Linked DNA regions of Oryzias latipes. The protein of the gene in region 2 purifies or fractionates together with the protein of the main gene of each other region. This does not show direct contact. Links are inferred from orthologs where the notes say so. Each region holds a gene or a part of one and is shown on either strand. Other genes may lie near its edges.

The links.
Region 1: the proteins of sae1 (region 2) and sumo2 purify together in Homo sapiens (affinity purification with mass spectrometry; 3 studies listed by BioGRID and IntAct, with this or other methods). This does not show direct contact. The link is inferred for Oryzias latipes from reciprocal best matches to the Homo sapiens genes SAE1 and SUMO2.

The regions. Positions count from the first base shown.
Region 1 is NC_019866.2:13,016,749-13,029,738, forward strand, and holds the start of sumo2 (small ubiquitin-related modifier 2), read left to right. Parts: upstream 1-7,121; 5' UTR 7,122-7,139; coding exon 7,140-7,160; intron 7,161-9,624; coding exon 9,625-9,756; intron 9,757-10,767; coding exon 10,768-10,839; intron 10,840-12,979; coding exon 12,980-12,990. Other genes in the region: nuclear pore complex protein Nup85, read right to left, coding at 601-718, 831-982, 1,077-1,142, 1,225-1,308, 1,389-1,495, 1,568-1,699, 2,051-2,173, 2,420-2,554 and 7 more. UniProt on the Homo sapiens protein: Ubiquitin-like protein that can be covalently attached to proteins as a monomer or as a lysine-linked polymer.
Region 2 is NC_019871.2:4,084,831-4,097,866, forward strand, and holds the start of sae1 (SUMO-activating enzyme subunit 1), read right to left. Parts: upstream 6,328-13,036; 5' UTR 6,187-6,327; coding exon 6,095-6,186; intron 4,774-6,094; coding exon 4,662-4,773; intron 4,465-4,661; coding exon 4,291-4,464; intron 1,728-4,290; coding exon 1,582-1,727; intron 1,284-1,581; coding exon 1,184-1,283; intron 1,088-1,183; coding exon 982-1,087; intron 1-981. Other genes in the region: zc3h4 (zinc finger CCCH domain-containing protein 4), read left to right, coding at 7,797-7,876. UniProt on the Homo sapiens protein: The heterodimer acts as an E1 ligase for SUMO1, SUMO2, SUMO3, and probably SUMO4. It mediates ATP-dependent activation of SUMO proteins followed by formation of a thioester bond between a SUMO protein and a conserved active site cysteine residue on UBA2/SAE2.

The DNA.
Region 1 (12,990 bases), on a different chromosome or scaffold from region 2:
GAATGCTGCGTTTCGACATTTTATTGTTACATGAAGATAGCATATGCCACAGATAATGCATCTAATATGTTAACGCAATTAAAAAAGGTAAGAAATGTTTTTTTTTCAGGCCAGTGTTAAAATCCAAAGTTCTTGGTTCCTGACAGCTAATAGTTGTATTATTTTATGTAGCAGATCACCTACATAGATTAATTTTATTATTGTTATATAAAACCAATCAACGCATTTTGCAAGAATTTTTTTTCTGTCTTTTTGTACCAAAAAAACAAACAGAAAATATATCAAACCGAGCCCTATGAAATTCTGAACCGAACCGAATTGAGATTTTTGTGTACCGTTACACCCCTACCAAACAGTGATGTCTTTTTAGGTTTAGAATACACAATAAAGGTTGACAAAAATACAACAAATTAAACAGAGCTTTGAGAACCATTTGTGATTTAACTGATTTACATCTAAAAGCTGAGAAAAAAGGAGGGAAAACTTGAATAACTCTGCGGCTCAGAAAAACGTCCATTTCTGGACGTCTGGTGAAGCTAAAAGTTAAATGTACAGAACAATGATCAAAGACAAAGGTGCAGATTGTAAAGAGAAGCCAACCTTTCAGAGATGAGGGTGGCAAACGCTGCATCTTTGGCTCTGATGCTCCAGGAAAGGGCGGAGCCAAGTCTGTTGTTTCTTAAGGCCCTCATGGCCATGATTTTACAGATACTCCGTACTGGATCACAAACAAAAAACACATTTCAAATGCCAAACTCAACGAAAGAAAGTTCAACTTGAATGGTATTTCTGGAACCAAGGTGATTACAGAATAAAGAGTCTTTTAGAACCTTGCTCCGACATCTGCCTCTGTTCACAAATGCGGAGGACCTTCAGTGCTTTCCGCTCCGTGTCTAAGGGAACGCGCTCAATCTGGAGCTCAAGGTAGACACGACCAAACTCGAGGCAGTGATCGAAGTAATCCACAGCCAACTGCCACAGACTGATCAACAGACAAACAAAAAGACATCCTTTAAGGGAAAACCTTCACAGAAAAATTCAAATAATTAAAAGGAGGACTTAAAAAACAAACCAACCTGTGATGAGTGAAGAGGCCAGAGGCATATTCCAACAGGAGGAATTCTCTTAAATTGGAACCAAAGCTGCAAAAACACAGAAAAACACTGAATAAAAGAAGTCCTAACCTCCAGACTAAAAAACTAAATCTGCACACAGGGTTCTTACTGTAGATTGTGAGACTGGAGGAGTTTGCAGTGATCCAGCAGGTCTGTCAGATGAGCCACAAACCACCAGTTGTTGAGAGCGATGCTGAGGCAAAAGGAAGAAATTGAATGTTTAAAGTAGATTTAAAATAAGTGTACTTGCATGCATCAGTCCCATTGTTGCACCTGCAGTCCTTAATAACTTGATGGATGTCAAACTCAAAGGCAGCCAGCAAGATGCTGTCCAGAGGTTCTGGTGCGCTCCTTGAGTCCAGAAACATGGTCATACACGACTGCAAAACACACAGGTACACTTAATATCTGGATGCAGCAGACATGAGTGCAAGTTTTGTAGAATAGTTCACCTGTGCATAGTAGTGCAACTCAGTGGGCTTTACAGTGGGATGACAGAACAGCAGTCTTGAGACAAGGAAGTGATACCAGGTTCCCAGGAGGTCTTTGTGCTCCAGTAAAGTGTCTTCATCACCCAGGAGGATCTAAAAAATAAAGAACAGAAATTATTGAAACATTTTATATCATATAGTTGAAACATTTGCACCAATTTATTAATCTGGTGCTGCTAAATGACTAAAATGTATTTTGGTGCCAGATTAGAAATTAAAACACACATTTAATATCCCAGAAATTGCCTACAGTGAAGCATGGCGGCGATAGCTTCATAATTTGAGCATGCATCATATCAGCCCATTGGGATTTAGCAAGAATTGAAGTGATTAAAACTGTTAACAGAAACGGGCGTATTTTTAGGAAAAGCCTACATTAGTACCAACAATGTTAGCATTTTGAAAATACACGATAGCATAAAAAGTAGTAACGGATGGACTGACCTTGCAGATGACCTCCAGATGTTGGTTGCTAGCAAAAGAGTTGTCCTGCAAGCAGCGGTCTACCTCTTCATGCCAGTGCCTCCACTTAACGTCAAACTCTGTCAGTGTCTGTGTGCCACCAGGCTGAAGACATACATGTGAGGATGAAAATGGACATTTTGAAATTGTTTGGTTCGTTATGTGTTTGAACACATTTAAAGGCAGGTCACCAGTCCCTCAGCCAAAACAGAGAAAGAAACTGATGCAGGAGTCGTCGTGCAAACTCCTCTTAAGGAGGCCACAACTTAGATTTAACCTTTATGGCAGGTAAATGACCATAAGTCATTCTTAACCCACAGACTAAAACCAGATAACTCCCATTGTACTTACATTGTAAAAAGGCATCTTGCTGAGTAAGTTATCCATCATCTTGTAGATGTTGTTTGCAGCAGGCGTTAGGGTGGCCTTTTTCCCCAGCATCTGTCTGGCTTCGTCCAACCTGCCCTGCAGCACATAACTCACCACCTGCACAGCACAACGAAACTCTCAGAGATCTCCAGTGGAGGCGGATCGTGTGTGTGCATGTCCCGCACTAACCACATCCCAGTAGTCTCGATGCTCAGCAGGGCTGTCACTCTGCAGCACGTCTCGAGCCTTTTCGTCTACGTCAGCCTTGTGCAGCCTCACCCAGTCCAGGAGGTGAAGCAGGAGCGAGCCGGCTGAAAGCATGCAAAACACACATCAATCATGAATGGGTTTTTATGGAGCCTTGCCTTTGTTTAGTTATAATAAAAGATATTTTGTTGTTAACTAAAAACTGAGATTCTAACCAGGAGCAGCATCGATGAAAAGGACTTCACACAGATTCCAGATCAGTTCTATAGCTAAAAGAATGGAGACCTGCAACAAAACAGACTGGATTAGGAACTAAATAATATTTAAGAGAAATGTTACTGATGAGTCAAGGGTTAAAATACAGATGAGCTCTGACTATTTAAAATGCAACAAAAATATGTCATTTAAAACATATTATAATGGCACAATGACAGCTTTACCCACAAAAAAGATCAGTAATGATTTATATTTGTACCGACAAGCAAAAATCCAAAATAAACAAGCTCCGACATGAATAAGAGTTTGTTTCAAGATCATACAGAAGACATTTCTAGTATAATAAGATCTCACAAATGCAGTTTGAAATAACATCAAAACTAGTCGACGTCTGCTTGGTTGATTTAAAAATCATTAAAAAAAATACACATTTTTTAATTCCTAAGAACAAATTATACACAAAATTATTTGAATTGTATTTATTACAGACCACTAAAATCCACATCCGAGGAAACAAAAAAATATTACGAATAGTAAAAAGATTAAAAAGAAGAGGAAAAAAACTATTATACGTTAATAAGTTAAAAAATTAAACTAATCACAATTTCTAAAAAGGAAAAGATGAAACTAAAGAATAAAAACACGTGCCTGGTTTCCATACTGTACGGACATCTCTGCGTTTTTTGTGGAAACTGCAAACAAAAAAGTACATGCCATTATAAAAAACTACACTGTAGGATTCGAAGATACACTTCATGATTCAGTTTAAAGAAGCTAACCTGCAACTTGCTGCAGCTCCTCCATACAGGCTCGAATAACAGATCTATAGTTTTTACTGATGCTGACAAACCTATAGAGCAAAACAGGAATTGTTTTTTTTTTTTACTTTAACACTGTTTGACATGAAATAGTTACATGTTGATGTTTTGCCTGTTTTCTTTTTCAATCTTTATGTCATCCCACTGATCAAAAAATTAAAAAGAAAATGTCAATAAAAACTAATTATTTGTGTAAGCTGAGCGGTCTCTCATCAGGAGACTTACTGAGGTTTCTTGTTCTTGCTGGGCAGATCCTCCCTGATTGTTTGCAAGCCAACAAAAATGTGATGCGACTCGTTAAAGAGTTTGCGCAAAATAGGAGAGTAGATGTCTTCATCTTTCCGGACTTCATGGATGAAGGGGGAACCAGATCCTGTTGCACCTGAAACACAAGACAATAGAAAGGAAACAAAGCAAGAAGACTTGCGAAAGTATTGAAACTGAAATTAACACATACCTGTTGCTTTGAAGAGGGTCTCATAGACAAAGATATTACCTTGACCCCATGCAAAGCCCATATGCTTTCCTCTTCTGAGTGCAGGAATATTCTGTATTGAGAGTGATAACACAGATTTCCAATTGTAATAATCTCTGCAACATTCAATAGAACATTATTGAACATCACTAAAGTGCTTATTTGACCATTTCTATCTTGTAGCAAAGCTTTTTGGGATTCAATCTAACTAAGTTTTGTTTCCTTATATTTAAAAAAAAGACTTTCAATCAATATCTACTGAAAATCCTGCAAAAGTACGTTCTTTACAATCATAAGGCATTTGACACGGTGAATCATGAGATTCTTTTGTCTAACTTTTCTATGGACTCAATTCAGTGGATAAAATCATATCCAGAATTCAGAAAACAGTGTGATTGTATTAACAGTGTCAAATCAACTCTCTTAGATGTCCCTGTTGGTCTACCACAGGGATCAATACTTGGGCCTTTATTGTTTTCTATGTATATTAATGATCTGCCAAACACATGTGGTAATGTTGAATTTCAAATGTATGCTGATGATGCTGTCATATTCACTAGCGCAAAAAATATTCAAGAAGCAGCCTCTATTCTTACCTCAGCTCTGGTTCCTGTAAATGAATGGCTTTCTAAATCTTGCTTACTGTTAAATACAACTAAAACTGTTTGTATGATGTTCACTAAGCAACCAGTGGACATCAAGCATTCAGGTATATTTTTGGAAGAACGGGAACTAGAAATTCTATCTAAATTTAAGTATCTTGGTGTGACACTTGATTCAACTCTGAGCTTCAAGAGCCATATTAAAAAAATTCACTTGGAGCTGCTAGAATGTTTTTGCATTCAATGATTCTATCACATATTGAATACTGTATTACATGTTGGTCCTTGCCGGGTGTAAATACGAGCAAAACCATAGAATCACTTTATAAAACAATCACTTAAGGTCTTAGATAGAAAACCAATGTCATTCCATGTTTGTAATATCTTGAAAAAGTACAAGTTGTTGAGCTTTGAGAATTTTAAAAATTTTAAATTCGCTTGTTTGATGTACAAGGTGTTACATGGACTTGCTCCGCCTCCCATGTCTGACTTTTTTTAAATAAGGTCTCACAGCGCTCTCAGGACTAGGGCCTCGTCTCGAGGGGACTGTGAGGTTCCACACAGAAAAACAGCCTTTGGACAAAACGCTCTTTCTGTAAAGGCCAGTAAACTCTTGAACAGTCTTCCATTGTACATAAGGGAGTGTCAATAATTACAGACCTTCAAAACACAGCTCAAGCAGTGGCTGAAAGCAAACCAGTCCTGTAACCACTGACTTTTAACTCTCATAATGTACCACTTTCTTGTGTTCTTATTGTATCTGTGACTGTGTCTTTTGTTTTGTCCTGTTTTATGTTTCCTGCCTAGGGACTAGGGATGCAAATTAGCATCATTGCTATAATCCAGCATGTTTACGCCTATAATCATTGTTTGGTAGATGTTCATTAATGTGCACTGTCCCTATTAAACAAAGCTTAAATAAAATAAAATCATTTTAAAATGTCCTGGCTTTCAAACAACATTCGATTTATTGCCTATTAGTTGCAATGTTACAACCAACACTCTTATGGTTTTCTTTTGCCTTTCTTAGTTTTAATCCATTGGACACATGCAACAGGATATTTATTTACCTTGACATTAAGACAGAGACTGGACTCAAAAATGTCCAGGAAAAGACTTACCTTTCTTTGTTTGACAAAGCACAAAATAACTTAACAAAACGTAGAAGACAAAAATAACGTTACATTTTGATTTTCTAACCATTGTTCCAAGTTTGTTTCTTTATATCCAAGAACATGTCAACTGTGACATTGTTTTAGCTACGAAACCTCCAACTCGTAATGTCGGTCCGTAACATTTCATCATAAACTTTTGTGTTTGTATCATTAACTACTAGTGTATTTTTTTATTCCGAATTTTAGGATTTACAAAATTCAAAATGCTTAGCTAACTTGTTAGCTGCTATTCGATAGCGCATAACAATAAACTACATAGTACGAAAGACTTACGGTTATCGTCGGTTCAACGTCTACCTCCTCCATCGGATGAAACTTTTTAGATCCTTTTAAATTTCAAACTATGAACTTTTTCACCTTAATCATGCCATTTAACACGTGCTATAATATAGCAACGCTTGCGCGCCTCTCTTTTTCTACGACTATCTCGCGCATGCGTCAAATGTAGGACTGTCCTACTTAATGCCTGTTTTGTTTTTTGTTTTTTTAAATTTGCAAGTACAGTACTTTCTTTTACTTTTAATCTACGTCAAGAAAACTGACATGACTGAAGCAAATAACACTATCTTTAGAATCGATATACATTTAAAAGTCGAAGTAATTTTATTCCGAAAACGTGTAACATATTCTCAGAATCAGGAAGATACAATCGTATCATATTGTTAATATACATTAAAACGTTATATAAGTTAGCTATCTTAGAAAATATATCGCCATATCGGTAAATGTTGTCGTTTAGTCGGTGCCTGTTTTTTATTGTAACAAAAAAAGAAAGAAAAACCAAGATGGCCACTGGGCTATAATGAGGGGTTAAAATAAGGAGAGTACTAATATATCACGCTGTACATCTAATACCGATCATATGGGCGCTTTATGAAACGTGCAGCACTGATACTAGTCTTCGGCGTGACGATGAACAGATTTCCTTCGTATATAATAGACCTAAACCAAAAACAAAAGGGAAAAATTCTGCCGTGCGCGTGCATGTGAAGCCGAGTATCTCTGTAACGCGCAGGCGGTAGTCTCCCGCCCATAACTAGACTGCGCTTTAGTCCACGTGACTTCATGCGGCCAATTAAATCCTTGTTCAGTGAACGCGCATTGACACATGCCCGCGCACGTTTCCCCGAATAATTTAAACGGGAACGAGTACGTGCGCGCACTCATATTCTTTGTGTGGTAGCATAGAGAAGCGCCAAAAGAGTGACGATGGCTGATGAAAAACCAAAGGTAAGTGACCCCATTGTCAATTACGATGCTATTACAAATTAACTGGATCGCCGATCTTAAAGGTGAATTTACATTCCCGCGTGTGCTGTTCGTATTTTTTTAAATAAAAAAGTTAAGTGATAAGATTCAACTGTACCTACTTTGATGGACCGGAAGGTATGTGAGCGCGCATGGACTGGCGCGCACGTCGCTTTTAGGCTGATTACATCCCGCCAACCAGCTGGTGTCGTTCTCTATAAATCTTGCGGTTTTCTTGCGTTGTGTTTGTGTGGTAATTAAGTTGTCTGTGTTTTGTAATGACGCACCAGAATGGAAAAAATAAACAAGAAAACGAACTGTTTGTATTTAGTCTCTAGACTAAACTGTTCTAGTCAGTCTGCAACACTTTGGCTTGACTCGTTGAAGAAAACGGGTTATAACAACTGGATACCAAAAATAAAATATTCAAATACTTGAAACTAATATTTAACAATGAATACGTGTTTTTTAGCATCTGTTTTTCATACGGCCTACAATTATGTTTCTATCCCTGGTAATTCTGGTATTTTATCTTTTTATTTTTCCACTCTGACAAACATAAAGAACTATAGAACAAACAATCTGCATGATAAACATTGCAACCCACTTGCCTCACAAAACGAACCTTTTTTGTAAATAAATAAATTAAATTAACTTTTTTCTGGTACAACAGAATGGTTAAATCCAGGTACATAGGTGTGACTTGTTGTGTGTCTTGGATCGTGTTTCCTTAAGTTAAAGGTCTTCTTAATTGGAGGACAGGTCTTCTTAATTTTTTTTCTTAGTCTCTAAATTTTGAATGTTGAACCCCAAGAAAAATGGTTCCTATCAATAGGTGTGTTAATGGTCAGAAAAGCTCTGAGCATTGAAACAAAGAAAGAAACCATCGAGCTGCACCTGACGTTCAAGGTGCGTCCTGCCGAACTGTATGACCACGGGGGAACAGCAACGAGGTCAGAAAACTATTCAGAGATGAAGATGAGAGGCAGACGGAGGCAGAGCTCATCTGCGAGAAAGTCAGGGTATGAAGAAATAAAGAAGTACAAATGCAGAAGGAGCTAAAACAGAAGAAGAAGAATCCAAGGCTGTTTGAGTGGCCTTGCACGGAGAGGTAGCTAGGACCGACAAAGCTGCTGCTGAGAGGTTTGCAGGAGAATTTCAGGTGTTAGTTTGGGAAGAAGGCCACAGCCCTCATCAGCTTTTCAACTGAAGCAAAAATGGCCTCTTCTGGAAGAAGTGACCCAACTTGCATCACCAAGGAGGAGAAAAGACCTCCTGGACACAAACCCATTAAGGAAAAACAGAAGGGGATGACTCTCCTCAGAAGATGAGAAGAGCAAAAGGTCAATTCCTTCCATCACCATCAAGAACACACTTAAGAAGTAGGACCAAGACGTCCATTCAGTGGCACCCCAACCAAACTGAAGTCTACAGACTAGTGAATTTGTTGAAGGTCATGGTCATTTCAGGAACATACTCAAAAATGGAGGAGAAACAGACTTTGGCTAAGTTCTTCCAGCCAGGGTGACTAAGAAACTTCAACCTGTTGAAGCTAAAGAACAGACCTATTCTCCACTCAATATTAGGCCACTCAAGGAGAGTCCGTCTCACCTGTCGGCGCTCTTTTGATGGAGCTGGAAATTTTATTTCCCTACATTATTCCTCTTTTTTGTGGCGATGTTGCACACATTGCCAGATTTCACATCGACTTTGGAAAATCATGTCATCCGTTCTACAAATTTAAAGAAAAATAGTATTAAAAAAAAGAATATTCAAGAAAGAAAAACCAGAAGAAACCAAACCAAATGGGGGCAAACATGCTTTATCTTCTTAATGCCTGCTGCACCACCTTTATGGTTTTATTTACACGTGTTTGTGGTTTTCATGGGAACCTGCCACCAACAAGTAAGTGGGCGATTATGATCCCACATGCGATGTAGTTTTGGTGCGACTGGCTGCTGTTGCCATAGTGGTCCTGCCCAGAGGACGGTCTGTACCATTTATCACAACCAGAGGCTCTGGCCTGCATTGTGTAACAGAGGAAAAAACAAACATGCCCAGGTTTGCCATCACACTGGCGTCCAGTCTGTTTGTTTTCAATAACCTAACCAGGAGATGGGGATGATTGGCGGCTTTTAAGCACTGTACCGAGCCTTGCACCGAAGGGTAACAGTCTTCATCTGAATGACACGGCACACAACTGTCTGGATTTGGCCTTTTCCCCCAGAAAATCAATTGTTCGCTGCAAACAGGCTTCGTTACGTGATGTTAATTTGTTTTGCGAGGCATGCAGGCATCCAAGGCAGATAGTTTTTTGTGTGTGGGGTATTTGTTATGCAAGGAACCACTGTTATTTGTGTCTAAAATGACCTGTCCTGTTTGTTGTTTCTTAAACCGTTACAATATTTATTTATTTATTTCTTTATTTATTTATTTCTTTTTGTAGGAAGGAGTGAAGACTGAAAATAACGAACACATAAATCTAAAGGTAGCAGGTCAGGATGGATCTGTCGTGCAGTTCAAGATCAAAAGACACACACCGCTCATCAAACTTATGAAGGCATATTGTGAGAGACAGGTAAGTATAATCCCCTATTAGACAACAAACACACAAAACGGTGGCGATTCAGGAAAACTATCATAATCACAACGCTTATACAAAAAGTAAAGGTTCGTTAAAAAGTAGTTAGATCATTTAAACTTTGTATTACCCAAGGAATATGTTTTTATATCCCTATATAAGCAAAAGTATTGTGGAAAAAAAAACAACAACTTATGATCGCTTAGATACAAATGGGTTTTAAAATTAGGAAGTCTGTGAATTTAAAGCAGGTCAGGTATTTATTTATAATAAATATTAATTTGATGATGCATTCTACATTTTTATTATCTTATGTGAGACTTTTGTTACTTTCTTTTATACTATGTTATATATGTGTGTGTTTCATTGAATTATTAATTGAGTTATAAAAAAGTTAGAGCTAACTGAACCCAAATATAAAATATTGCTCGTAGCTCTTGTATTGGCTTGTAAACGCCGCAGCAGTTTTTTTTTTTTGCTTTGTTTTTTTTGAACGGGTTCATAAACGCTGTTGTTTTTCAGGATTATAACTCGATTACCATGAAATGTTTACATCTTTTCACATCTTTCTAAATAATAACAAAAAACTCCTTATCTTATCCCTTTAGGATCTGGGATTCTCTCTACTCACTGAAAATGTAACCTATAAGTTAAATGAGGTTCTAATAGTTGAAAGCCTGAATTATTGTTTAATCTACAGCTTGATTTTCTCTGTATGACACAGCATGTGTGTGTTTGTCAGTGTAATGTGAATCAACTCTGACCTGTTGTAGGAAAACAGTCTTTCCTTCAGTGTCTCACGTCTGTGCTAATAATACATAACATGTGACATTATACATATTAATTAGTATATTAACTATGAATAAATACATTTATTACATGTATTGTTTTTTTTAATAGAACCACACAATTTTTGCTTTTTTTATGTATATGAACAGGAAATGTGTTCCAGTCACTCTAACGGAAAGCAGGCCTTTTGCTACAAATTAATAAGTATTGTCTTTGCAGGGACTTTCAATGAGGCAAATAAGGTTCAGATTCGACGGACAGCCAATAAATGAGACAGACACACCTGCACAGGTAGGACTGATGATATGCAAAACCTGCTGCCAGTGGAGTTTATCCCAAAAACGTGTTATAACAAAAATCCTTTATATGGGTGGATGAAGATAAAAGTAATGGATAGGTAGATAAATAGCTTGTTGAGTAGATTTGTAGGCTAGCTAGCTATATCTATCTATTTATGCTAAATACTTGCAACATAAATTAGGCAAATCTTGATGAATTGGCTGAACAATATTTCTTTCATCTTTTTTAGCAGGGGTGTCCCGATGTGATCACGTAGTTTCAAACTCGATTGGAATCCGATGTTGCGATCAGATCAGGACTCGGATATTTATTTTATCATTATTATATATTTCAATCTTAACTTTACAGATAAACACTTTACCAGATGTCTTCAAATTCTGACCGGATCCCAACGTTTTACTGCCATAAAGTGCAGCAGACAATGAGGCTAGGAGGCGCTGAAAGACAGTTTGAGAAGGTTAGCAAGATATTCACAGATTTGGACCTTCAGGCTCAATAATTCTTAAATGAGCACTTTAAACTGACAGCGAGTGTCATTGTCTCAACTCAAACAACAACTTAGAAAGGCGTTTAAAAAGAAAAGGGATCGAGCTTTGGTTACTTTTTAATGAGAATTGCTCTCTCCGTGCTGCTGACAGAAAGTCGGCAGTGAAAGGTGAAAGCTCTGGGAAAAAGTTATTTAAAAATGAAAAAAAAAAAGAAATCCATTTAAAAAAAACTAAAACTGATAAATGGTTACATTGATATGAGCTATTCATAAATATTTATGTTACAACAACAATTTTAAAAGACAGTCATCATTAATTTTAATGACTTTTTAATGCAAGTATGAATCACATAAGAACCAAAAATGTTCAATAATTCTGAGGATACTAAAGCTACAGTCACCAAACTTTCTCCCATGAATAATTATTTCCTATTTTTTACTAGTTTATAGTTAACTGTTCTTTGTAGTTGAAAGTTTTACGACTTTTGCTTGATTCTTTGAGTTATTTCACAGCGGCAAATTGTTTAAGTGTTAAATAATTAAAGAAAGTGAATAAAGTAAAAATCTGTGATAACCTGACTTCATTACATTTGATCATTTTTTATGTGTTACAATAATATCGGATCAGGCCTCGGTATCGGTACATACTCAAAATCAAATGACTCTGAATCGGATCGGGACTTCCTTAGTTTTTAGTTCTTGTTCCAAAGCTGGTCTGACTAAATCAATGCAGCCTCTAAATTAATGTATTAGGTTTAAAACATTCATGAGGTTCTTTTGTTGGGTTTGATCAATAAGCCATGAATCTCTGTAGAAATGAGCACATATGTTTTAGGCTTCTTTTGTTTAAGACCCATGATGTGATTCTGTTATTACCTATTTTCATTTTATTTCTTTTATTATTTTTCTCTTAGTAATGCAACCAGAACAAGATAACACTCACATTTTGGTTAAGAAACTCTTTGATTTCTAACGAAAACCAGGCCATTTACTTCTTTTATTTTTTGGTTTTTATTCCATTTTTTTATTTATTTTTTTTTTGCTTTCTGGGCTAGAACTTCACTGCAGTTTAGAGCAAACAGAAAACCCTCCGAATATTGAAGTGTAAATGAATAAACTTGTTGGCCATGCAGGTATTTCATATCCTCAAGCAGCAGCTTGCCGTGCTTGATGTCTTGATGCCAGATAATAGCGCTTCCATGGGAAACTTGTTCTGCCACAGGCAGAGAGGATTTATCATCTACATTCAGATGTCTGACGGAAACCTTTATCCACTTGTAGAGTTTGTTACGACGGCCAACGCACATGCACTGAATTAACTTCTATGATTGTATTATTGTAACCACACCATTGTTGTTTGAGGTTAAAGTGGTATTTTTGCTGTTCAAGGCAAATCTGTGTGCATGCTGTAGTCATAAAAACATCCCGCACTGTCATTTCTGATGCAGCTTTGGGGTTTGATATGCCCAGGGGGCAGAGTGTCAGCCCAAGGTCACATTCCACATGAATGGAACATGATGACATTTGCTTTTTTTTGCCCCCTTTATTGTAGAGAATTTCCCCTCTTATTTTAAAGATTAGATGTATTTAAATGTCTGAAAGGTATGTCTGTATGTATGACACTTTGTCCCCTTTTATCAACAGTTGGAAATGGA
Region 2 (13,036 bases):
TGGGAAACCAGTAAGAAGCCACGTGGATCACCTTAAAAGTTGTTTTTTTAATGAGTCTACCTTCGTCCGACTAAATTTCAATGAATTGCTGAGTCTCATTGTCGTGGTTGCCACCATCCTTCTTTGCATCCCATAATGCCCGGCCGTTTTGGTCCAGTTGTTCCGTTCAGAGCACAGATTGTGTTCAGACTGAGGAAACTCAGAGCAAACCGCATCTCAGTCTGATTGGTAACAAACCGAGACCAGCTCCAAAGATGAGTCCTGGAACCGCTTGGGTGTTTTCATACGGAAAAGTTGATCCAGATTATCACGGGAAACAACTTCTGGTTCACATTAAGAGAACCAAATGTGCCTGAATCCACCATAAGATTGTTTTTCTATTGTTCGCCCATTTTACATTCAGGGAAAGTAGAGCCTGATCTGCTTTGCGCAACAATACGCCTAGTGATTACCTTTCAAAGTGAACTGGCTCCAGTTACTTTTGTTTTGGAATGGGCTTCAACGTGGAAGTCAACAATCAGCAGCGTCTAAGCTACGTTCACACCACCACTGGCAACGCGTGTTCAAGCATCTGCTTCCAATGAAAAGTTTATGCAAACGTGCATTTCAGACGTCTACGTTTTCGGCCTCTATGTAGAAAACGTGCGGCCAATGAACGCGCGTTGAAAGTTAAAGCGGTTGAACTTTCACCAATCAGGGGCTGGGATTTGGCACGGCGTGAGGGTTACGCCTCCTTTAACCCTCCGGTCGTGTTCGCATTCAGCCCCCTACTTTAGTGTTCCCGGTCAAAATTGACCGGTCTGTTTTAACTCATGGAAGTGCCAACCATTTGAAAATTGATGGTGGAGGAGAAATTACTAATTGAAGTTTGTTTTCGGCCAGAACTCTGTGACACCGTGAGGAAAAAGGTTGAATGGTTTCCTGTAGGTCATGTGACCTCAGGGCAGAGGGGTAAAGCCAGAAGGAATGACCTCTACGCACCATGAAGCAGGAAATAGTCCACCGGGGTTTTCTTCAGAGCCGCTTTGGCCTTTTCAGTCGTCCAGTCCACCTCCAGAGCCTCCTTCAGGGTGCAGAAACTGGCCGTCTGGCGGGACAGAAAGTTTTAGAAGATGCTTGACTCAAAGATCCTCAAAAACAGACGGAGGCGCCGGAAAGGGCAAGCTGGAGCCACAAGCTCTACCTTCTTCACCATGGTGGTCTCGTTGGGATCGACTTTGGCTTTCTTCGCTCCTGGACCATCGCTGGAATCTCCTGACGGTTTCACCACTTTAGGTTTCTCTCTGAAATAAAAAAAAAAAAAAGCTGCTAAGTTTTTATAGAAAACCCCCTGAAAGAGGAACTAAAAAACACAGGAGATGCGTTCTCCTCTGAACTTATGATTAGAATGGAAATTTCTCTTGAAAAGTGTGGAACATTTGTGCATTTTTGCTGCACAAAAGCCAAAAAATGTTGATTTTGTCTGTTTATGGAAATCTTGCTTTCATTCCAGAAGAATTAAGGGTCTGGAACAGTTTTCTGAACCTGTAAAACAAAACAAACAAAAGGTAAACGTCGCCTCGAAAGAGCCCGCCCACTCACTCCACGTAGCTGTACTCCTGGCCCAGGTTGCAGAACATGTAACCGTAGTAACCGTACACATCTCCACAGAAAACCTTGATGCGGTGCTGAGAACAGAGCTGGTCGACCCGAACCATCAGGTCTCGGGAGCAACCTGTCAGACACACCTGGGGGAAAAATTAAAAGGGCGCTCATTAGAATCTGGCCTTCAAAGTAAAGCGACAGGAAGCAGAAATATGGTTTTTTTGTAAATCTGTCCACAAACGCGGGAAAAAGCTACAGGATGCAGGAAAATCAATATACCCCAGGCTAAAAGACACGCCCACTTTCTCAGTGGAGCTAGCGGTGATCGCCTAAACACTTTTATAAGCTCAATATTCACATCTATCCTTGCAAAGTTTAGATGTCGTTTAGTTTTGTTGGAGAAACGCTGCTGCCGAGGCCGCCTCTAGGATGACGTCATGAAATGGGCGGGGCCGACTATAGGATGACGGCATGAAATGGGCGGGGCCGCCTCTAGGATGACGGCATGAAATGGGCGAGGCCGACTCTAGGATGATGTCATGAAATGGGCGAGGCCGACTCTAGGATGATGTCATGAAATGGGCAGGGCCGACTCTAGGATAACGCCACGAAACGGGCGGCACCCACAAGGAGAGAAAGGCAGAGCCTCAGAGATCGAGTCGTCTTACTTAAACGAGCTGTGAAAAGAACTCATTTCATAAAAAATCTTTCTGTAGTGAGCCAAAGATAATATACTATCATTCACATGGGAAACGTTTACCCTGAAAAGCTCAAGAAAAGCAGGATAAAAGACATTTCTTTACTAGAATCTGGAAACTTTTTCACTTTTTTTCCGATTTCTCTCCTTTGGTAGAATCTGAGACTCTTCAAACTGCTTTGATGGAGTCAGTTCTGAAGGACGATGAAGAACATCAACATGCTTATCTGGAGGCGGGGACGCCATCAGGCGGCTTTAACTGTCAGGGAGGAGCCTCCACCACTTTGTTTGCCTGGAGGAAATGCAAAACCCAAACGGGTTTGGAATCCGTACCATCAAAACCAAACAGACAAAAGGTTTGCAGGTGACCTTTGACTGGAGAGTGGTCCAGGCAGCAGAGCAGCTGCTGAGCGGCCGGACGCTCCACCTGCGGCGGATGCCGACGCCGTTGGGAGTTTATGGCTGATGTGGAGCCGATAAGCTTCTGCGGCCGAGCGTACGGCAGCCAGACGGGGGTCGACGTTTGCTGAACATTTGAATATTTTACTGCCACACTGTGATAAGGTGTGTCTGTGTCTGTGTGTGTGTGGGGGGGGGTTTCTATTTCCGCACAACAGGAGAGTTCAGAACGCCACGTCCAAACCAAACCGAAGGTTCGTGTTAATGCCAAAAAACCAACAAGAAACCCGGAATTAAATCACATCTTTAACCTTTTCTTGTTGGTTTTTTTTCGTTCTCGCCATCTATTTGATTTTATGGGTTTTCCTTTATGATCACACTTTTTTTTCTTATTGAACTATTTCAAAAGAAATTTCAGGATATAACTCAAACCATCCAAAAAATGACGGCAGCCCCCAGGGGTTCTCTACAACGTCTAAACAAAATAATAAAGACACACATGTATACTTATTGATATGCCTAATAATAGCTGACTATGGGAAAAAAAGGGGGCTGTGATATGTAGCCAACTGAAAAACAAAACAATACAAATGTCTGGGTGGGGTCAAACGCCCCTGCGTTCGTTCACCTTCCCAGAACTCTGAATTTTAACGGCACCGCCGCCGCTGACCACATGACCAATGTCGGAGACCAGGCTCTGTTACTAAATCAAACAATATCTTAGAAATTCCAGTCCAAAACTCGTGAACGGGGCCACATTCCCACGTCACATGTGTAAAAGGAATTAAGCGAACGTAAATGAACATTTGGGCTCTGAACCGTCCCATAGGATACATCACAGCAGGGGTCTGGGACAGAACTGAAAGTGTATACGCTGGCGGTTTGGGTTCGTGGAAGAAGTACAAATACTTTCACTACGCACACGTTGCACATTTTCCACGTATGAAAATTTGGTCTTTCGTGATCCATGCGTGATAATTCATGAGTGTTTCCTGACAGATGTCCGTCAAGGGCCAAAACATAGCTTTTATATCTCGTATTTGTCGCACATATCACGTTCAAATTTTTTGTCGCACAAATGTCTGGGCACACTGAAGATTTAACGTTAGTTTTCGGGTTCTTTGCGTGGTTTATTCGTACTTCTTCCGTGGTTTTGACGTGGCTCATTAGTGTTAGTCATCTGTGAAATTTTCCCGTAAAGATCCACAACTTTTCCCCTTTTTCTACATATTTTCATGTATGACCAACTTTTATCTGTGTAATGTGCACAAAATGTGGCTGTGCGACACGACCTTTCATAGCTTTACCTACATTTTTTGTGTATTCTATCTAAATGTTCATGTAAATTATGCTATACTCTTTTTTTTGTGGTTTTAGTTTTTTTTTTAAAGATGAGCTGATCTCATTGTTGTGTAGAATGTGCTGCCTAAAGATGAAGGTGTTTATGCTAATGTGGGCTTTAAGCTCCATCTAGTGGTCAAACTTGGAATTACAATAATGGAAAATTCATTTTAAAACTGAATCTTTTTTTTTTTAGTGGGCAGTAAATCTTTAATATTAATTCAAACTCATTGGTTGGTTTTAGATAAACTTCTTTTGTTTCCACTCACAGCATCAAACTGCAGGAAGAAGTCGTCCGGTTTGTCCTCGACCCTCCCGGGGTCGGCGTGCACCTCCACCATCGGGTTGAGATTCTGGGCTCGCTCCAGCGAGGCCTGGGCTCGGTTCTGACCTCGAGCAGACACCGGAACCAAGAACTGAGCTCGACACGACTCCTCTGTCACCTAAAAGAAACAGAAAGTCAATCCACGTGGGATAAAAACTGGACTCTTGAGACCCAACCAAACCCAGTTCGATCAGTCTGGGGGTCAAAGGATAAAATAATCGATTTTATTGAGTTCAACATTTCACACGGAGCTGCTTCTTGTGGACAAATGGGGTTAAGGAAAAGCCTCCCAGCTGCTGGTGTGGTTGTGTTTACCTGTTCATGATCCAGCAGAGTCAGACCTTTAACTCCAGCCAGGATCAAGTTCTTGGCCACTTCAGCGCCGAGACCACCCAGGCCTGCCAGGAGAACCCGGGACCCCCGCAACCTGCAGAAGCCACAAACAGGACGCTGCTGAAAGGAGGTTCCAGAGGAGAAAGCCAGTCCCAAACGGGTTTAAGGTGAAAAATATGGAAGATTACTTTTGGAAAGACAAAGAAAAAGAGAGTTTTTCTTCCTCTGAGTCTGGATCGTGGAGAACTTCTGATTTCTGGAGAACATTTTTAACAAATCAAAAACATCAGGGATGCAGCGTTGCTGTTCTGGCAAAGAACAGGACCAGAACCTTTGAGCTGCAGCGTTTCAGTGGAAAGAAGGCTTAGGAGGAGATCCAGGAGGTGAAGAAAGGAGCAGGAACTTCTGCACCTCAGAGCAAAACATCACTTCATTTTTTACTTCACGTTTTATCTGAGCCATTTTAGGTAAGCAATGGTGTTCAACAGGGAGGGATCCTCTCTCCATTTTTATTCAATGTATAAATTGATGATCTTTCTACGAAGTGAAATCTGTGCAAACCTGGGTGTGTTTTTGGATGTCAAACCTTTAACCATCTTATGTACGCTGATGACCTTGTCATTTTTTGCCCTTACAGTGCGGGGAGACAAAAACTTTTAAAAGTTTGCTCTGACCACGGCAGAGACTTTGATATAAAGTACAACCCTTCTAAAAGCAGAATAATGATTGTTAAGACCAACGATGACAAAAAGGTAAACTTTCCTGTTTTACAGCTTTGTGGAAAGCCTCTGGAAGGAACCTCATATAACAAATATCTTGGACATTTTATCACTGATGATTGGACGACAGAGACATTCAGAGACTGTAAACTGTATGCTCAGTCAAATATGCTGATGAGAAAATTCAAAAAGTGTTCTCTTCAAGTGTAGCGTTCGTTGTTCAGAGCTGACTGCACTCCTCGGTGGTGGAATTATGGACGTGGGGCATTCTGTAAATCTACAGTGGCCTATAGCGATGCCTTTTGGTCTTCTGCTACGGGTGCCCAGGTGGTACACAGCGAGTCAGCTGTTTATGGACGCTCACATGACATCCCCACCTGTGAAACACCACTACATTATTAGCTGACAGCCTCATGGGGCGCCTGGACAAGTCTAAGAATGCAATTATCATGCTGATATCAGGGGAAGCTCACGCCGCTACACCTCCACCCTGGGGACAGACTGGGCACAGATTATACTCTAAATGGGTGTAAACTGTAATTTTGTTTTTTTATGTATTTATTTATTTATTTATTATTTTTGCATGTTGTTTCTGTCTTCTTTTATGGACCGCATCTGAGTGTGCAATAAAGTGAGTTATAATGATAATCACCCAGGAGGAACCGTTAGCATCCGAGGCTAGCTAAGCTAACTCACCTCTTCTGGGCATCCAGCCCCCACAGACGGATCTGGCGGTCATACTGCGCCGCTTCCTCCTCGCTGATGATCGGGTCCTCTTTTTCAATCATGTCGATTGATTTCTTCCCAAGGAAAGTCTTCCCTTTCGGAGAATATTAGCTTTTTGAAGAGGGGCCAAACCAGTTCGATTCAAACGCGGCGACGGTCCCGCTGAATGGTCGCCGGGTTATGACGTCATTTAAACAAACAACAGACTATTTTCTAAAGAATAATCACTTGTCATCTTTTTGAAATTATTTTTAAACCCTTTATTTTTTATGTCAATAATTTGTATATTATATATCATGTATATATTTGTATTAATATAACATATATGTTTGAAAAAATTCTTTTTTGTCCCCCAATTTAAATTATTTGATTTCCGAAAGCAGAGAAGTATTTAAAGTATATTTCTTTATTGCTAAATGTGCTAAACTAAACTGATCCGAGCTCCTTTGATGTTTCTGTTTGATGAAAAAACAATTTTTCGTTCTCTCTTTCTCTCTTTGTGTGCCTTTGAACACGTTGTTCTAACTCCCTCAGTATTGTCTTTAAGGAAACTCCCAATGAAAAGGGTGACATATCGTTCCTGTCGCTGTCTTGCTAAATTTGAAACAACTTGGTACCATGTTTTAGTTACATTTAGTTCACTGATCAAAACCTTTATCTAGCACAATATAAAACGTATCAATAATATTGAAAATACCAGTAATTTAGCTCAATGACTAAAACCTGAGATACATTTTATGACAAACTAACCTCTTTATTTTTGTCCAAATAAGCACTATTTGGTTAAATTGTTGTAAAGACGTGTAAACCTTACATTTGACAAATAGATTGAAAAACTGGAAAAAAGGTTAAGCGGTGCAACAAAAATGCTGAGCAATATTGAAACTATCCAGCCAGACAGTTCTGAGCCAGATTCCAGCTCAGATAACGAAAATAAAGATGTTTATGAATCTATTTGTCTGCAACTGGATTCATCTGAAATTAGCAGAGCAGGATTATCTACATAATAAATTGTTTTCCAATTTTTGTCTGCTTTCTAATCACAAAGATTTGAACAAAGAACTGCCCTTTTATGTCCTCTATCATGAGGAAAACGCTACAAAAACATGTCAAAAACACAATTTTCATCGCAGTGGGTCTTTGAGGAGAAACTTTAAGTGCTCCTTGGCATTTTAAACCACTTAATTCCGGCTTTTTAAAATTAAGTGTATGTTTTTTAAATATAATTATTTTTATTATTTGTCTACGTGTAGTCTTGAAAAGCATTAAATTCAAAAAGCTATCATTTTTGCGCTATTTTGTTTTGGTAGCTTTCATTTCAGCCTGCAAGACAAACTCCGGGTCACACGAACAGCCTGGCTTTGTCTTTCGGTTATTTTCGTGACTCGCCAACGTCACGATCTTCGACTCGGAAAGTCCGCCCCTTATTTCTTTGGAGAAGACGATCGGCCATTTTAAGATAATCAGTCGTCAATTCACGTCGCTACAGTAGGACGGAGAACGTCAGGATTCAATTTCAGCATATTTCTCTTACAACTGTTGTGGAGAGTTGCCTACTATGAACTGAGTCTCTTCCTACAACAAAACAAGTAGATCCTAGTGAAGTGACGCATAAGCCAGTAGATTCTAGTGTCGAGTTGTAATTTTTTGCACCTCAATGTAGCTAGAGGAAATGGCTGTGGAAAGCATGACTGTCCATCCAAACTCCCCAACTACCTACCACGAACACAACAGTCTCCTGACTGACGAAAGGTCGAGTAATTCTACAATCATATTTAAATGAAATTATTTATTTGTCCTGAGCTTTTACACAAAAGCCCGGGGTTTCTCTCTTTTTTTTTTGTTTTGCATTTTTTCTCAAAGGGATTAAACTGGAAAACGAGCACAGAGGTAAAGACAACGGCCATGTTGGTGCGACAACTGGAAGGCCAAAAGAACAAGGAATAACGCTATTCCCCGTATTTTATTTACATTTTCACAATCATCGACCAAACGACCGAAGCGACCTTTTTTTTTAAAGGAAAAAAGACCCAAGTCGAAAGACCAAAAACACGAGTTTTCTTCACAATTCTGTCATGACAAAGAATCGGACTTTTGCCACACGAAAATGCTAACTTACGTTAGCTTAGCCTGCGTTGTATTTTATTTTTTTTGGTAACGTTTGTGTTTGAAAAAACAAAAATGAAAACGGCGTTTTTTAAGACAATATTAGCTTGACGGCTAAAGATAGCATGCTAACCTAGCTAACAGAACAAAGGCTAAGCTAACGGCTAAAGTCGTCGAAATGAATTTTGGGTCCACTTTACGCTTGTCGTATTACCCAGTTACTACCGCTTCAATTTTAAAAGTTTCTTTAAAAAAAGCATTTTTTATTATGACGATTTTCGATTTCATTGAAGCTAATAATATCCGTTTAAATTACTTCATCCGTTGACAAGCTAGGGCTAGCCGACGTAACTGCGCATTTAAAAAATCATGTCTAACATGGCGAGATGTAGCTCGTTAAAACCGTAAGTTATACATTTTTATGTTAATTGTGAACTATTTTAACTGATATTTTTTTTAATCTGCAATGTTTTATTTAGATTAACAGACCCCTTTTATTCACAGTTCAAACTGGGTCGCCCTAGATCCAGAAAAAGTCCCCAAAACGTCTGCAAAGCATCCCTAAAATGTTTTAAGTCAAACACCCCCCCAAAAGAAAGAAAAGAAAATCCCTTTTCCACAACTGGAAGAAAAATATACCCCAATTTCAAAAGCCCCTCCCCACTAATGCCCCTTAAAGGTCAGGGACATTATTTTTCTCTGAGGGTTTGAGTCCAAAATGGGAAGAAAGCGTGTCACAGTAAGTATTCCCCATTTTCATCACGGCCCTCTGCTTTCAGAGTTCCAGGCGTTGTGGACTTTGTGCATAGTGAAGGCCTGGCTGGACCCCAATGGTCACCTGTTGCTGTTGTTGTTGGGGGGTCTTCTCTGATTGTGTGGAGTCAGAGAGTTTGTGTTTTCCTAAATGTCTTTGTTTGCCTGCAGACTGTTGGCAGCAGGTGATGAGTGGTTAACATGAACCCCCCCCCCCCCCCCCCCCCCATTCACTTCAGTCTGCTGCCATGCAGCCAAATCCCCATTCTGTCATAGAGGCCCCCCCCCCCTGCAGTGACACTAGAGGTCTGTGTCCCAGAATGAAAGCACGGGACGCTCCTCAGGTTCTGCTGACGTGAGGAGGTCCTGACCCGCTTTCAGGACTGGTGGCAGAAAACTGCAAAGGAAAAGTTTCTGCATGTGAAGTGTGTGAAACGGGTCAGAGGTGCTTCTTCAGTGTGGCGTTCACATGGCGGCCGGTTTTACCTGAACCTGTCTTTAAATGCTTTGTATGGAATACGTGGACCTCGTGTCAGTCTGCATTAGGAGGTGGTCAAAAATAACCAGGGTTGATTACTGTCTCAAACAGGAGAGGAAAAAGTGTTTGTCTGCGATACTGCAAGTTAAAAAGTTGAGTTTGATCTGTAAGGTTCATCCTAGAAACACTTCAACTCGTACAGACGGAAAGTAAACAAAGAATCACTGTTGTTTTCCCAACTTCTTTCATTTTTTAGAGGATGGAGGACATAGTCTAAAAAGAATTGAGCTTAAAATTGCATTTCTGTGTATTTATTTACTCAAACCATCGTGAATCAGGAGCAGATGCAAAAATGCTGTTGGAAAAAGCTTGTAGGTGTGATGTAGCAGCAACTATGGCAAGCCGTAGGCTCCCTGCTCTGCTCCATTCTGATGCATCTACCTGCAGACAAATAGTTCCATGTGCGTCTTTGTTTTCTTCGTCTGAGCTGGAATCTGAATGTAAACTGTCCGGCTGGATGGCTACGGTATTGCTCACCGTTTCTGTTGCACCGCTAATGTTAGGTTCGGGGTGTGAAGGGCTGTAAGCTAGCAGGAGAGAGTGTCAAAATATGGATGATGGGAAGGTAGGGCGGGCCTACTCCCACACCAGCAGTCCTGCCCACAACTGAGAGGCGAGTTTCTAATGAACTCCTGCTGCTCTGTAGAAACTAGAAAACCACAGTTTGTTGTTGTTTTTTGGGGGCTTAAAAAGGACCACTGGGAACACTTTGGAAATATATCAAGTTGATCAGATTGAGACTTTAAAGAGTTAATTTTTGAGTATTTAGTCAATAGTAAAAGTTCAGCTCAATGCTTTGTAATTAGATTCCGGTTGGTCAAACATTTCTCGTAGGGCTTTATCCGGTTTAGCTGCTATTTTGGTCCATTCCTCCATGCAGATCTCCTCTAGAGCTATGAAGTTGTGTCTGTTGCTGGGCAACACAGACTTTTAACTCCTTGAGGCCTGAACTTGCTTGTTTTTGCTTTCAAGCTAAATTAAAGTAAGTTTGGAGCAGAAGTGCTTTGATTCACATTTGGATCAGTAAGTATCAAGGGGTTAACAGATTCTCTATTGGCCTGAGGTCCACAAACCCTTCCAAAACCTTAAAATTATTTTTATGTAGCCTCTCCTTTGTTACCATGGTGATATGTTTGGGATCATTGTCCTTCTGGAAGATCTAGCCATGTTTCATCTTCAATCTTCTCACCGATGGAAGGAGGATTTTTTTGGGGCCTATTCATCCTTTCCTTGATACAGATCAGTCGTCCTGTAAAGCAGCCCCAAACCATGATGTTTTCCACCCCATGCTTCACAGTGAGTATGGGGTTTTGAGATGCTACTCAGCATTCTTCCCCAAAAGGCTGCAAAGGGTTTTGATACCAAAGAATTCCATGTTGGTTTCCTCTGACCCAGTGACCCTGTCCCCATCCTCTGGATCACCCAGAAGGTCTCTGGAGAACTGTAGATGGGCTTGGACATATGCCGGTTTCAGCAGGTGGTCCTTTGGAGCTCTGCAAGATGACAGAGTGTGTCACTATAGTAATCTTTGTTACTGTGGTCCCAGCACTTCAGGTCATAGACCAGTCCCCTGTAAGGGGTTCTGAGCTGTATTCTCATTGTTCTCTCGAACAGGGGAGATCTTTCATGGAGCTCCAGGTGGAGGGAGATTACCAGTGATTGTGTATTTCTTCCATTTTCTAATATTTGCTTCAACAGTTGATCTCTTCTCACTGAGCTGCTTGTTTATAGTAGATTGGTTTATCCTAGTCTAGATCAGGTCCATAATCTGGTCCCGGGTGTCCTTTGACAGCTCTTTGGTGTCGGTCATGGTGGAAAGGGTTGCAGTGGGTGTGGACAGGTGCCTTTCATTCGGATAACCAGATCGGACAGGTGACATTAATACAGGTAACCAGTTGAGGATAGAAGTGCTTTTTAAAGAAGAAGTAACAGCTTCTTGCTTGTTTTTAGGAGATAAAACCTCATTTTCTCCTTCATTATACAAAGAAATTCTCTAAAAATCCCAAACTGTGATTTCCTGGATTCTTTGTTTACATTCTGTCCCTCACAGTTGAGGTTTATCTATGAAGAACATTGCAGACCTCTGTCATATTTTTAAGGTGGATTTGTTGTGAGTTCATGTAGATTTGAAAGGTTTAGTGCATTGAGTCGTTGGTTTAAACTGGTGTGGTTTCTCTTGTGTGTTTTGGTTCATTATTATATACAAAGATCTTTGGGGGATTTTCTGTTGACAGTTTGAAGATACTAAAAGCTGTAGACTCTTAAACTGCAGGAAAATTGTTCTACTTTTCAATGTGAACTCTTAAAATATACGTTTTAATAGTCGTGGATCCAGCTGAATCTTTCCCATTTAGAAGAAAATATTTGTCGTGATAATAACTGTAAAAAAGGCTATTTCAATTTTTTATTAGCTTTTTATGCATGAGTATTTATCCTATATGTATCTATAAACTCAAATCGTTTTGTAAATTATGTTTTTTATATTTACAGCATAAATTCAGTGTCTTAACACAACTTAAACAGTTAATTGTAACCAAGCTTTTATAATTTTCTGATCTTTTTCATTGGAAAAACATTTTATTTATTTATTTATTTCGAACAGAATCCTCAGAGTTCAACGAATCTGTCATCTAAAGATTAATATTGTCTTTGGTTATAGTGTAAAGGTGAATTTCACACAAGTTTTCAAACTGATATCAAAATTTTTATTTGACAAAGACGTAAAAAAATAGCAGGATTTAAGGAGAGCTGAAGCCACACGGTGGTCGCAGCAAAGACTCCTCCCCTTTAGTCTGTACGATCCGACCTTACAGACGTTCAGCTCACGGTTTGACCATGATGGGCGTATCCCACCGATGTAGGGAAATTGTAGAGTTTTCAAGTAAAAGTCCCATTAGCTGTCACACACCAATAGGGGGGTGTGACATTTGTTCTCCGCATGTGACCCATTCCCTGGGGGGGCGGTGAGCCCCAGACACAACCGAGGTCGGGAACCATTTGGTGGTTTAACACCCCCAATCCAACCCTTTAATGCTGAGTATCGAGCAGGGAGTCGCAGTTTTAGAGTCTTGGGTATGACTGGATTTGAACTCACGACATCGGAACAGAATTAAAATGTTGATCCAAACCGATTTAGCCCAATCTACAGTAATCTTCCAGTTTTATCCCAAAACGGCGGCTGATAAATACCTGGAGCCAGGTTCAACTATTGACTGTATACAGGAACTGGACTGAGTAACTCCTCCCTGGCATTTCCAAACAGGAAGTACCTGTTAGAACTAAGACGCCAAAATCCCATCGACTTCAGTAGAGAAACAGCTGTTACTCCGTCATTCTATTTGTAACCATTCTTGATCTGATATTTTGCTGCTAAACATTTTCTTGATAAGAATAACTGTAGTTCAAGTTATTCACATTAAAAACTGACCAAGTAGGTGGAGCCCGCTGGCCAATGTTAAAAGCATTTGATTGACAGATTTAGTGTGGCTCGCTTTCAAGTGGTAGGGGTGTGGCCC